2 linked regions of the Drosophila melanogaster genome follow. The protein of the gene in region 1 interacts with the protein of each later gene in a biochemical or structural test. Each region holds a gene or a part of one and is shown on either strand. Other genes may lie near its edges.

Region 1 (4,877 bases):
GTAGACAAACACAGTGGAAAACTTCGCGCACACACACTAACGCGTACATACACGGATTTTTCCAAGCAACAAAAGATGTAACAGATGAAAATTGAGAGAAGGAGAGGCTCAACTCGGTATTCTCTACGCGTTTCAAACACTGACTATTCGGAATTGTAAACTATATAGTTAGTTTTCTTATTTATTTAGCTTTTTTGAACTACCATTTGCTGCGAGCACTACTTTTTTATTAACATAAAATTTGCACCAACGAATCAATCGCGCTCGCTCTCGCACTCTCCGTCACTCTATCTCCCTCTCGCACGCGCTCTCCGCAGCTTGCGCAGAAAGTTTTTTGGGCGATTTCTCCATGTGTGTATATGCTGCTCTGCTTGCTGTTGCTGCCTTTACATATTTCATATTTACATACGCCTATACATACTGCAGCACAGCTATAATTTTTCACCGATTTTCCCAACCGATATGTTTAATTGCCAACCGCAGCGGATTTCCAACTATATTTTCTTCTTATTGTTTTCGCTTTTCACTGGGCTTACGTATGTATGCATGTGCGTGAATTGGAGTACTTCTTTTTAGTAACAGTAAAAATGAGAGGGCGAGAAAGAGAGAGCACTGGATGAGCTCGTTTTTCATTATTTCGCATTTAAAATGTGTAACTCTGTCTTTTAATTCATTTATTTAACAACGCGCACACATACACAAAAACACACACACACACAAAGCAGGAGCAGACGCAACAAAATGTAGCATTTTTCTTTGTATTAATTTTGCACTGTTTTAAATGACATTTACTTTTGCTGCTTGTTCGCAAATTTTTTTGCGTATATTTGTGCTTTTTCCGATTGGGCGTTTTTTTACAATTAAGCAGATATATTCACAACAATTGACATTTCCAAAAACAAACGACGGCGACGGCGAAAAAATTAAGAGACAGTGTGACCGTGGAGCAATCCGATAAATATACTCTCTGTGCCAACTCTAAAACTCCACATAAAATACCAACGTATATAAATGCATATAACGAAAATATTAGCTTTTTGAATTTGCAACTCTGGGGTTTTAATTTATGGCGGATTTCTTGAAAACGGTAATATTGACAAAACTTTAAATGTTCGTATTGTTTTCTTTATTCAAAATTTTAATTTTTCAAATTTTTTTGTGTATCGACATTGTGGATCATTAATAGTTTTAAATTAACAGGAATTCTAGGAAAACCTACAATTTGGTAAGCTAGAGCTAAGAATCGATTCTTTTATTCATATTGGTTGGGCAACATCTTTCGGTGCAGCTAATCCACATGCAGGCATCTGTATTGCCTGGTAGCCTTGAATTTCTTTGATAATCTTATCCTCCTGGCTGTCCAAGGCGACAAAGACCAAGAAGAAATCGTAGTGCGTTTCGATGTCCCGCGCACTAACCACGACGCACCAATCCATCAGGGCCTCGGTTATCTTATCTGTAGCCTTGTCCGCACTGGAAACGTCCGGATTCCAGTGGGAATCCTCTTCATCCTCTGATGTTGGATATATGACATAGGTTCTGTAGCACTTGTGCCGCTCCATGTGTGAAGTGCATCCATGTTATTTGACCAAGCTCGATTCTGGAGAAGACATTCCAGACTTTGCCGCGACTGCGCTTCTTGTTGAATTGCCGGACTCCGGCGTTCAATTGGGCCTTGATATTGTCCTGGCTGTAGGAAAGCCATCGAAACTTTACCCATTTAAATAAAAAGATTCTACTGATTCAATATACAATAGTCAACTCAATTGAGTTTATCGATAGACTGTTTACTATGGGTAATCGGAATCGCTAGTCATATGAGAATTTTAGGTTTTAAACTAAAAGAAAATATTCAAAAAACATAAGAAACAAATAAAATTCAAAAAAAATTAAACTTACAATCAAGTTCTTTTTAAGAAAATCAGTGGCTGTTTACACCACCTTACACTTTTCGCACCGTGCTAGCGCTTGTTTACCAACACAGTTTTGTGCGTGACTGAATTTTCGTGAGTTTGTATTTGTGTACATTTTGTAATTTGGGTTTGTTTTCTTCTTGGCAAACCGAATTACCACCGCAAATCGAACAACCGATACACCACGATGCATGTTGAAAAGAAATCAGAGCTTCGTAGCCTACTAAAATCCGGGGACAAGCGTTGCAAACTCGTTGAGCCCAGGAACACCAAAAGCTGCGTCTGGAGGTTTTTCAATCTCGTCCAGTGCGACGACCACATAGAGCCGTACGCCTGCTGCAAAACCTGTGGCGATCTGTTATCCTACAGCGGCAAAACTGGAACCGGATCCCTGCTACGGCACCGATGTCTCCACTCCAGCAGCAGTAACGGTAAGTTCGGGATCCGAAATCTCACGCACGCCCTTCACAATCGAAATCCACTGCCACGCGTGCTCCGTGCCGTAGAAACCGAGCACGGATCAGTGCCCGATGCCATCGCGATAAATCCACGGGTCATCGGTACAGGCTCCTCCACTTTGGCGCGGAAAAAGTAGAAACTCTAGTTATAGCAAGGCAGTAAATCGTCTTGAAAAAAAAAACTATAGATAAAAATAGTGCAGGATAGGTACAGAATTTTCCCCAACCAGTGGTTGTGCTTGTAAATAGTTTATAAACCTATTGTATATTATCTAAAATGCTATTAAAAAATCAGCTAAAAAATATTGTTATGTTAAAAGTATTTTTATGATTTTGCGCTGTTGTAAAGTATGTAAACATTCTCTTATTTTCGTTTTTCACCTCTGTTTGCCGTTGCCTTTGTTTCCACTCTTATGTTCATGCGTTTTACAACACTGCAACGGCACTTGACAACACTGACTACAGCAACGCCAATATCGCAATAAATAAATTTGTGGAGAAAAATCACTTTTGACGTACTAATTACCTAGAGAAAAGTATTAAAAATGCCCAAGGGTCGTGTTAGCAATGTGTGGCAGCACTACGATATTAACGAGGAGTGCGAAAACTTTGCGATATGCCGTTATTGCGGCAACAATATATCGCGTGGTGGCATGGCCAGCAATTTGAAGGGCAACAATACGACCAATTTGTGGACGCATCTGCGGCACAAGCACAGGGACGAGGTGCTGGTCAGTCCGGTGCAGCAACGTCCCCAGGCCCGGATGATCCCAATCATCAAGAAAGGTAATTCCAGCGAAGTTCGTATGGCGGGCTATCGACCCTTGGGTCGGCGGGAAACTATCGCCGGCGCCCATCTCTGGGTTATGATATTTTTGTTATTATCCGGTAGCTGTACCAATATGTATCGTATTAACCATCGCTTCCATCCTTTGCATTGCAGACAAAACCGTGCGGATTACCAAGGCCAAGACGCTGAGGGAGCCGCTGCGTGTGGCCAAGCCGAAGATCGAGTCGAACGTCGCCAATTATCTGGGCGAGGCGGGCGCCCTGCCGCAAAAGTGGGAGGAGTACGAGCAGAACGATGAGATTAGCGAGGACATTAAGGACATCATATACAGCGAGGATCCACTGTGCTATAGTCCTATACACGTGATGGATGATGAGGGCCTGGATCAGCCTGAGAAGCAAGTGACCGTGCTAACCCATTCGACTTCACCAGCCGGTGGAAGTAGCAGGCCCATCGGTGTTGGTTCGGGCGTACAGGCTACTGTGGTGGCCTCCACGTCCTCCAGCAGCAGCTCGGCCAAGCAGCTGAAGAACAACCTGGAGACGTCCATCGAACGGCTGACCGCTGTCAGCGAACAGCTCAGCTACATCATACAACAGAATCACGAGGAGCTCACCAAGGACGACGACTACTATTTTGCACTTAGCTTGGTGCCCGCAATGCGCCACCTTTCGCTCAGTCGGAAGATGTACGTGCGGTCCAAGATCCAGGATATACTGTTCAAGGAAAGTGAGGACTCAACGCTTGCCAAGGATGAGTAGGCGGTCCATTATATACATTTACCCAGAGGAATAATAAAACGAGGAACGAAGGAAACCATATGGTAAATGGGCAAATCAGCGTGTCGTAATCTAGGTTAATAATTATACATATGTTATGTATTCATTTAAATTATGCTCTTTTATCGATTGAAAATACTTACTTTGATTGTATATTTCCCAATTATATTTTACTTAAAACTCAAATAAAGCACTACAATAAATTAAGGAAAAGGCGATTTCATGGTGTATTACGTTTATTTTAAATAAATTTTATTTAAATAACTTGTTAAGATTTACAAAACAGAGAGCGTTGCTAGATTGTTATTATAAATTATTGTATTGTAATTTACAAATCGATTTTGCGGCTAAGTTCTGCTGTTTATGCGTTTCTTATAGAGATATGCTTGTATTGGCCGCTCCCCAATTGCGTAGCCAGCCATTTCGTTTTTCTCTTCAATATTTTGTAGATCTAGGAGTGCAAGCGTACATTATCATACAATACGAATACAAATTACAGTAAAACTCCTACAAATCGAGCAATAAACAATAAACTTAAGCCTATATATATATATATATAGTATGCTAGGCTTAGATTCTAGTCAACAAATCGGTAGTTTATCAAACACTGACTTGAATAGCGAAATGTATGTATGTCTAATTTGATGATTTGGTTGTTGATATAGGTAAGTGGTTCGCTCAAAATGAATTTTGAATTGTGGATATGATGGGCATTATACAAATATGTTCGCTTAGGGTGGATATTAGGACTAAGTGCACGATATGTTTGCCAAAAGTTTGGTATAAATTTGTTGTAATATTACGCGTAGATATGCTGCAAATCTGGCTTTTTGTATATCTATGTAGGTATATAACATTTTGATTTCGGTTCTCTCGACTGGCAGAGTGTATTTCCAAGACTTTCCTTTCATTATTTATTTATTTATTTTTTCGATAT
Region 2 (4,084 bases), on another chromosome or scaffold:
ACCCGCCACATGCTGCCCACCGGATTCAAGAAGTTCCTGGTGCACAACGTGCGCGAGCTGGAGGTCCTGCTCATGCAGAACCGCGTTTACTGCGGCGAGATCGCCCACGGCGTCTCCTCCAAGAAGCGCAAGGAGATTGTCGAGCGCGCCAAGCAGCTGTCGGTCCGCCTCACCAACCCCAACGGTCGCCTGCGTTCTCAAGAGAACGAGTAAGCTTAAGATTCTTGAGAGTTCTTGTAACGTGGTCGGAATACACATTTGTAAACGTTAATATACCGGACTTTTAGTTAAAAAATGATGTGCGAGTGCCGAGTTCAATTGTCATTTCTGAGATTGGGATAGCAGCACCATTGATAACATGTGCATTATCTGGATGGATATCAGTTAATCCAGACCATTGCGGTCTTTCTTTCTGATAGCAACTGCCTCGAGATATTAGACCAATATAAATTCCTTGACGTGCCAAAACTAGACAGCATCAATCCTTATCAGGGAATTTTGTTATATATTTTACATTTTTCCCCCTTAGTATTGAAAGAGGTTGTTTATATGAAATCATATATATATTCGCAATTATTTTTACAGAACAGTGTACAATTATTATCGGAAATGCTTCTGTCTAAATGAAACGCAGTAATTGAAATACCAGTAAATTATATTTTGTAGGAATCTACAATAATCAAGTACAAAGAGGAGGAAATACACTAGGGAAAGATAAACAATTACTTATTGTAGGCAATGTAGCTTATTTCAAGACCACGTCGTGATCAAATTGCAAGTGGTGTTCGAGCTCCTTCTTGTTCTCGAAGTTGGTATTGCAAATGAGACAGAAGCCGCTGTTCTCATCGTTGTCGGACATGATGACGGTGACGGCCGCCTCCGATTCGTCGACGTCCACATGCAGCTCCTCCACCACCTGCTGCTCGTCGGCGGGCGCCTCCTCGCGAACCCCGTAAACGACGTCGCCCTCGTGGGTCTTCATGTGCATCTTGAGGGTGTAGCGCTCGGTGAAGGACTTGGGGCAGACGGAGCAGTAGTGTCTTGGGCGGTTCTCCTTGTGAATGAGCGTGTGATGGTTGAAGGTCTTGCGCGACTTGAACGACACATTGCAGATGCTGCATATGATGGGGTTCTCCTCAGCCTCGTGGCGCAGCCGGTGGTTGTAGAGTAGGTTGTCCTGGGAGAACCTCAGGCCGCACTTCTCGCACTGGTACTTCTTCTTGTCCCAGTGCATGCGCATGTGGCGCAGGGTGTTCACCGGGCGCGAGAAGCTCTTGGGGCAGTAGCGGCATTGCTTTTCCGTCTTGCCCTCGTGCAGATTCATGTGCAGCTCCAAGTACTCCTCGTCGCGCCGGATCACCCCGCAGATGGGGCAGATGTGGTTGGGCTGCTTGGAGTGCTCCTCGCTGATGTGCTTCTGCAGTTGATACCAGGAGTTGTACACCTTGCCGCAGGTAGTGCACTCCTGCTTGACGCGCTTCTTCGTCGGCCTGTCCTCGCCATCGGAGGACTTGCCATACAGGGCCTCGGAGTCGCCCACATCCACGTCCTCGCAGATGAACTCGTCGTCGTCGTCGTCGTCCTCCTCCTCCTCCTCGTCCACGAACTCTCTCTTTATCTCCGTGTCGGACTCCTCCTGATCCTTGACCAGCTCCACGAACAGGGCGTCCGCCTCGGCATCGGCGTCTGTCTCGACATCGCTTTGGGGTATCTCCACCTCCTCCACGAGTATGTCCTCGCCGGACTCCGGCACCTCGAACTCGGACTTTAGAGCGCCCTTTAGCTGGGTCGTCAGCCTCTTCTGGGTGGTCATCAGGTTCACCATGATCGTGTCGTAGTCGGAGAGCTCCTGAAAGCAGCGCGGGCACAGCCGGGCGCCGGGCTTCAGGTCCAGCTGCGTCTGGATGCAGTTGGCCAGGTGGGTGAGCACCAGGGACACTGTTTTCTGCGACGACGGCACCTTGGCCGACAGCGTCTCGTAGCGCATGGAGCTGGAGGAGCCCGTGTCGCTCAGATCGACGGCGCCGCAGAAGAAGCAAGTATCCATTGCGCCGACGATGGTCCTTTTAGCGATTCCGTTTCGTGCGGCGTTTGTTTACAATCTTTTAAATTGTGTATGAAATTTAATAGAGTTGGCAAAATGATGAATATCGGAAGCTATACTAAAATGCGTGAAATGCAACCATGGCATAATGCCCACCAGGGCTGGCGAACGATGCCGATTGATGCCAGGAACGGAACGGTGGGAATGGAACAGGGTGTGAAAACTGAAATATATGAGTTGAATAATAAAAATATGTGTTTGCTCAATATTGCAAACGGATATTCAATTTGCATAAATACATAATTTGTTGTTGATTATTATGGTGGTGTTGGTTTCTTTAGTTATGAAAACGAGTAGCATTTAATTTATTGATTCCCTGAAAAAATTGAATTGAATTATATAATTTTTTTATAATGGTATGTTTTAATTGTATTTTATATAAATTATGCGAATGGCTTCAACTTAATGAAGTAATTACATAAGTGTAAAGAACACAATTGACTTAGGTAGCTAATTAGAATCTTTGTAAGGATATGTTTAATCTTAATTAAGCACTTCAAGCCAATGAAGTATTAAAAAAAATCTCATACAGATAAGCCCGCGTATTTAGAATATGGCTCGCCCCACTCAATCTAACCTAAGAATCTCAGTGATTTGGAAACTAATAAGATCGCTTTCGCTGTGTCCGGATTCAGCAAGTGAGTCCTGTGGCCCGAAAACTGAGCAATTTCCGGTTTGTTTTACAAAGGATCGATGCCGTTTGCCAAAGGATCGACTGCTCCGCACAAAAGTTCGGGTTGCACTTGAGGGCACTTGAGCTTCGGAAGCAACTGAGGAATCGGGCTCCAGATTATCCCTGCATATCAAGTCCCTCAGCTTGGCCAGCACGGAGTACAGTATCTTAAGGCGCTTCACGATGCGCTTGGGATCCACTGGGACGTCCAGGTTGACCACGGCCTGGCACTCGCGCAGGATCAGAATGAGGTCCTTGTGCACCCGCTTGCCATCTTCACTGAGTCCCGAGTAATTGACGGGCAGCCGAAAGTGATCCACCACCACTCCGCCCCTCTGGACAATCAGCTTCAGATGGCTTTTGTCCTGTACGTGGATCCTCTCGCCCAGCATGTCCAGGTAGTTGTTGATCAGGGAGCAGCTATCGATGATTTCGTGGATGACGTTCCTAAAGATCAGCAGCTCCTGGTTAAAATGCTCCTGCAAGACCTCCGCGTGGTGTGCGGATGAAGTGGACTCTGGCAGCTGGAGAGCGGGCACAATGCACGCATCCAGGGATTCCAGTGAGGCCAGGCAGCTCCTGACAATCGTCTTCGTTTTGATGTCCTGCGAGAAGGCTATGGCCAGAACCCCAATCTGCTGAATGCGATCCATGTTCGTGTCGAATGCGGAGATTAGCTCCTGAGCTCCCGCAGGATCCCTTTGCAGTGCATCCTTTAGCTTCTCCACCGAAGCGTTTTCCAGATCTATCAGACTGACGAACAGCAAGTGCAGCAGCGCCTCATTGAGAAAGGATTCCAGGGCATAGAGGGCACGTTCCAGGGAGAGGGCCTCCAGCTTCCGATGACCACTGTTGGGCTCGCCCGCCTCCTCGTGGAAAGTGGCACATTCGGCGAGCAAGGTCTCGCACAAAGCCGTCAAAGCCTTCTTGTCCGAATGAATGGCCACATTGGCAAAGGCCAGGGCGTGGCGAACGATGTGATTAACTATGCTGGCCAGCTGGTAGGTGTCTTCCGTGAAGCTCTCTTCTAGAATGTGCAGCGAGTTGTTTCTCTGCTGGGCCAGCTTCTCCATGTAGTCATCCAAGTGGTCCAGAGCCAGGTCCATGAGCTCAACGAAGGAGTGATCCTCTAGGTTCTTGACTGGGGTCACGTTGCCTTCCAGTTGCGTCAAGGAGACGAGCAGTCGCCGCAAGCACCAGTCCAAGCGGTCGAGGAAGTGCTGCCTGGTCATATGCGGTGCCTCCATGCTGATGGTCCGCTCTAGGTGGGTGATGCAGGTTACCACCTGGGTGAGGCACAGGAAGAT

The links.
Region 2: the proteins of BEAF-32 (region 1) and Sry-delta form a complex in vitro, tested with the Drosophila melanogaster proteins (one study listed by BioGRID).

The regions. Positions count from the first base shown.
Region 1 is NT_033778.4:14,768,486-14,773,362, forward strand, and holds BEAF-32 (boundary element-associated factor of 32kD), read left to right. Parts: upstream 1-1,983; 5' UTR 1,984-2,100; coding exon 2,101-2,344; exon of another isoform or gene 2,345-2,916; coding exon of another isoform or gene 2,917-3,157; intron 3,158-3,314; coding exon 3,315-3,922; 3' UTR 3,923-4,145; downstream 4,146-4,877.
Region 2 is NT_033777.3:30,041,442-30,045,525, reverse strand, and holds Sry-delta (serendipity delta), read right to left. Parts: upstream 2,186-4,084; 5' UTR 2,048-2,185; coding exon 746-2,047; 3' UTR 640-745; downstream 1-639. Other genes in the region: RpL32 (ribosomal protein L32), read left to right, coding at 1-213; Sry-alpha (serendipity alpha), read right to left, coding at 2,672-4,084. UniProt on the Drosophila melanogaster protein: Transcriptional activator that controls bicoid gene expression during oogenesis. Found in transcriptionally active cells. Binds to specific sites on polytene chromosomes of third instar larvae. Binds to the consensus DNA sequence 5'-YTAGAGATGGRAA-3'.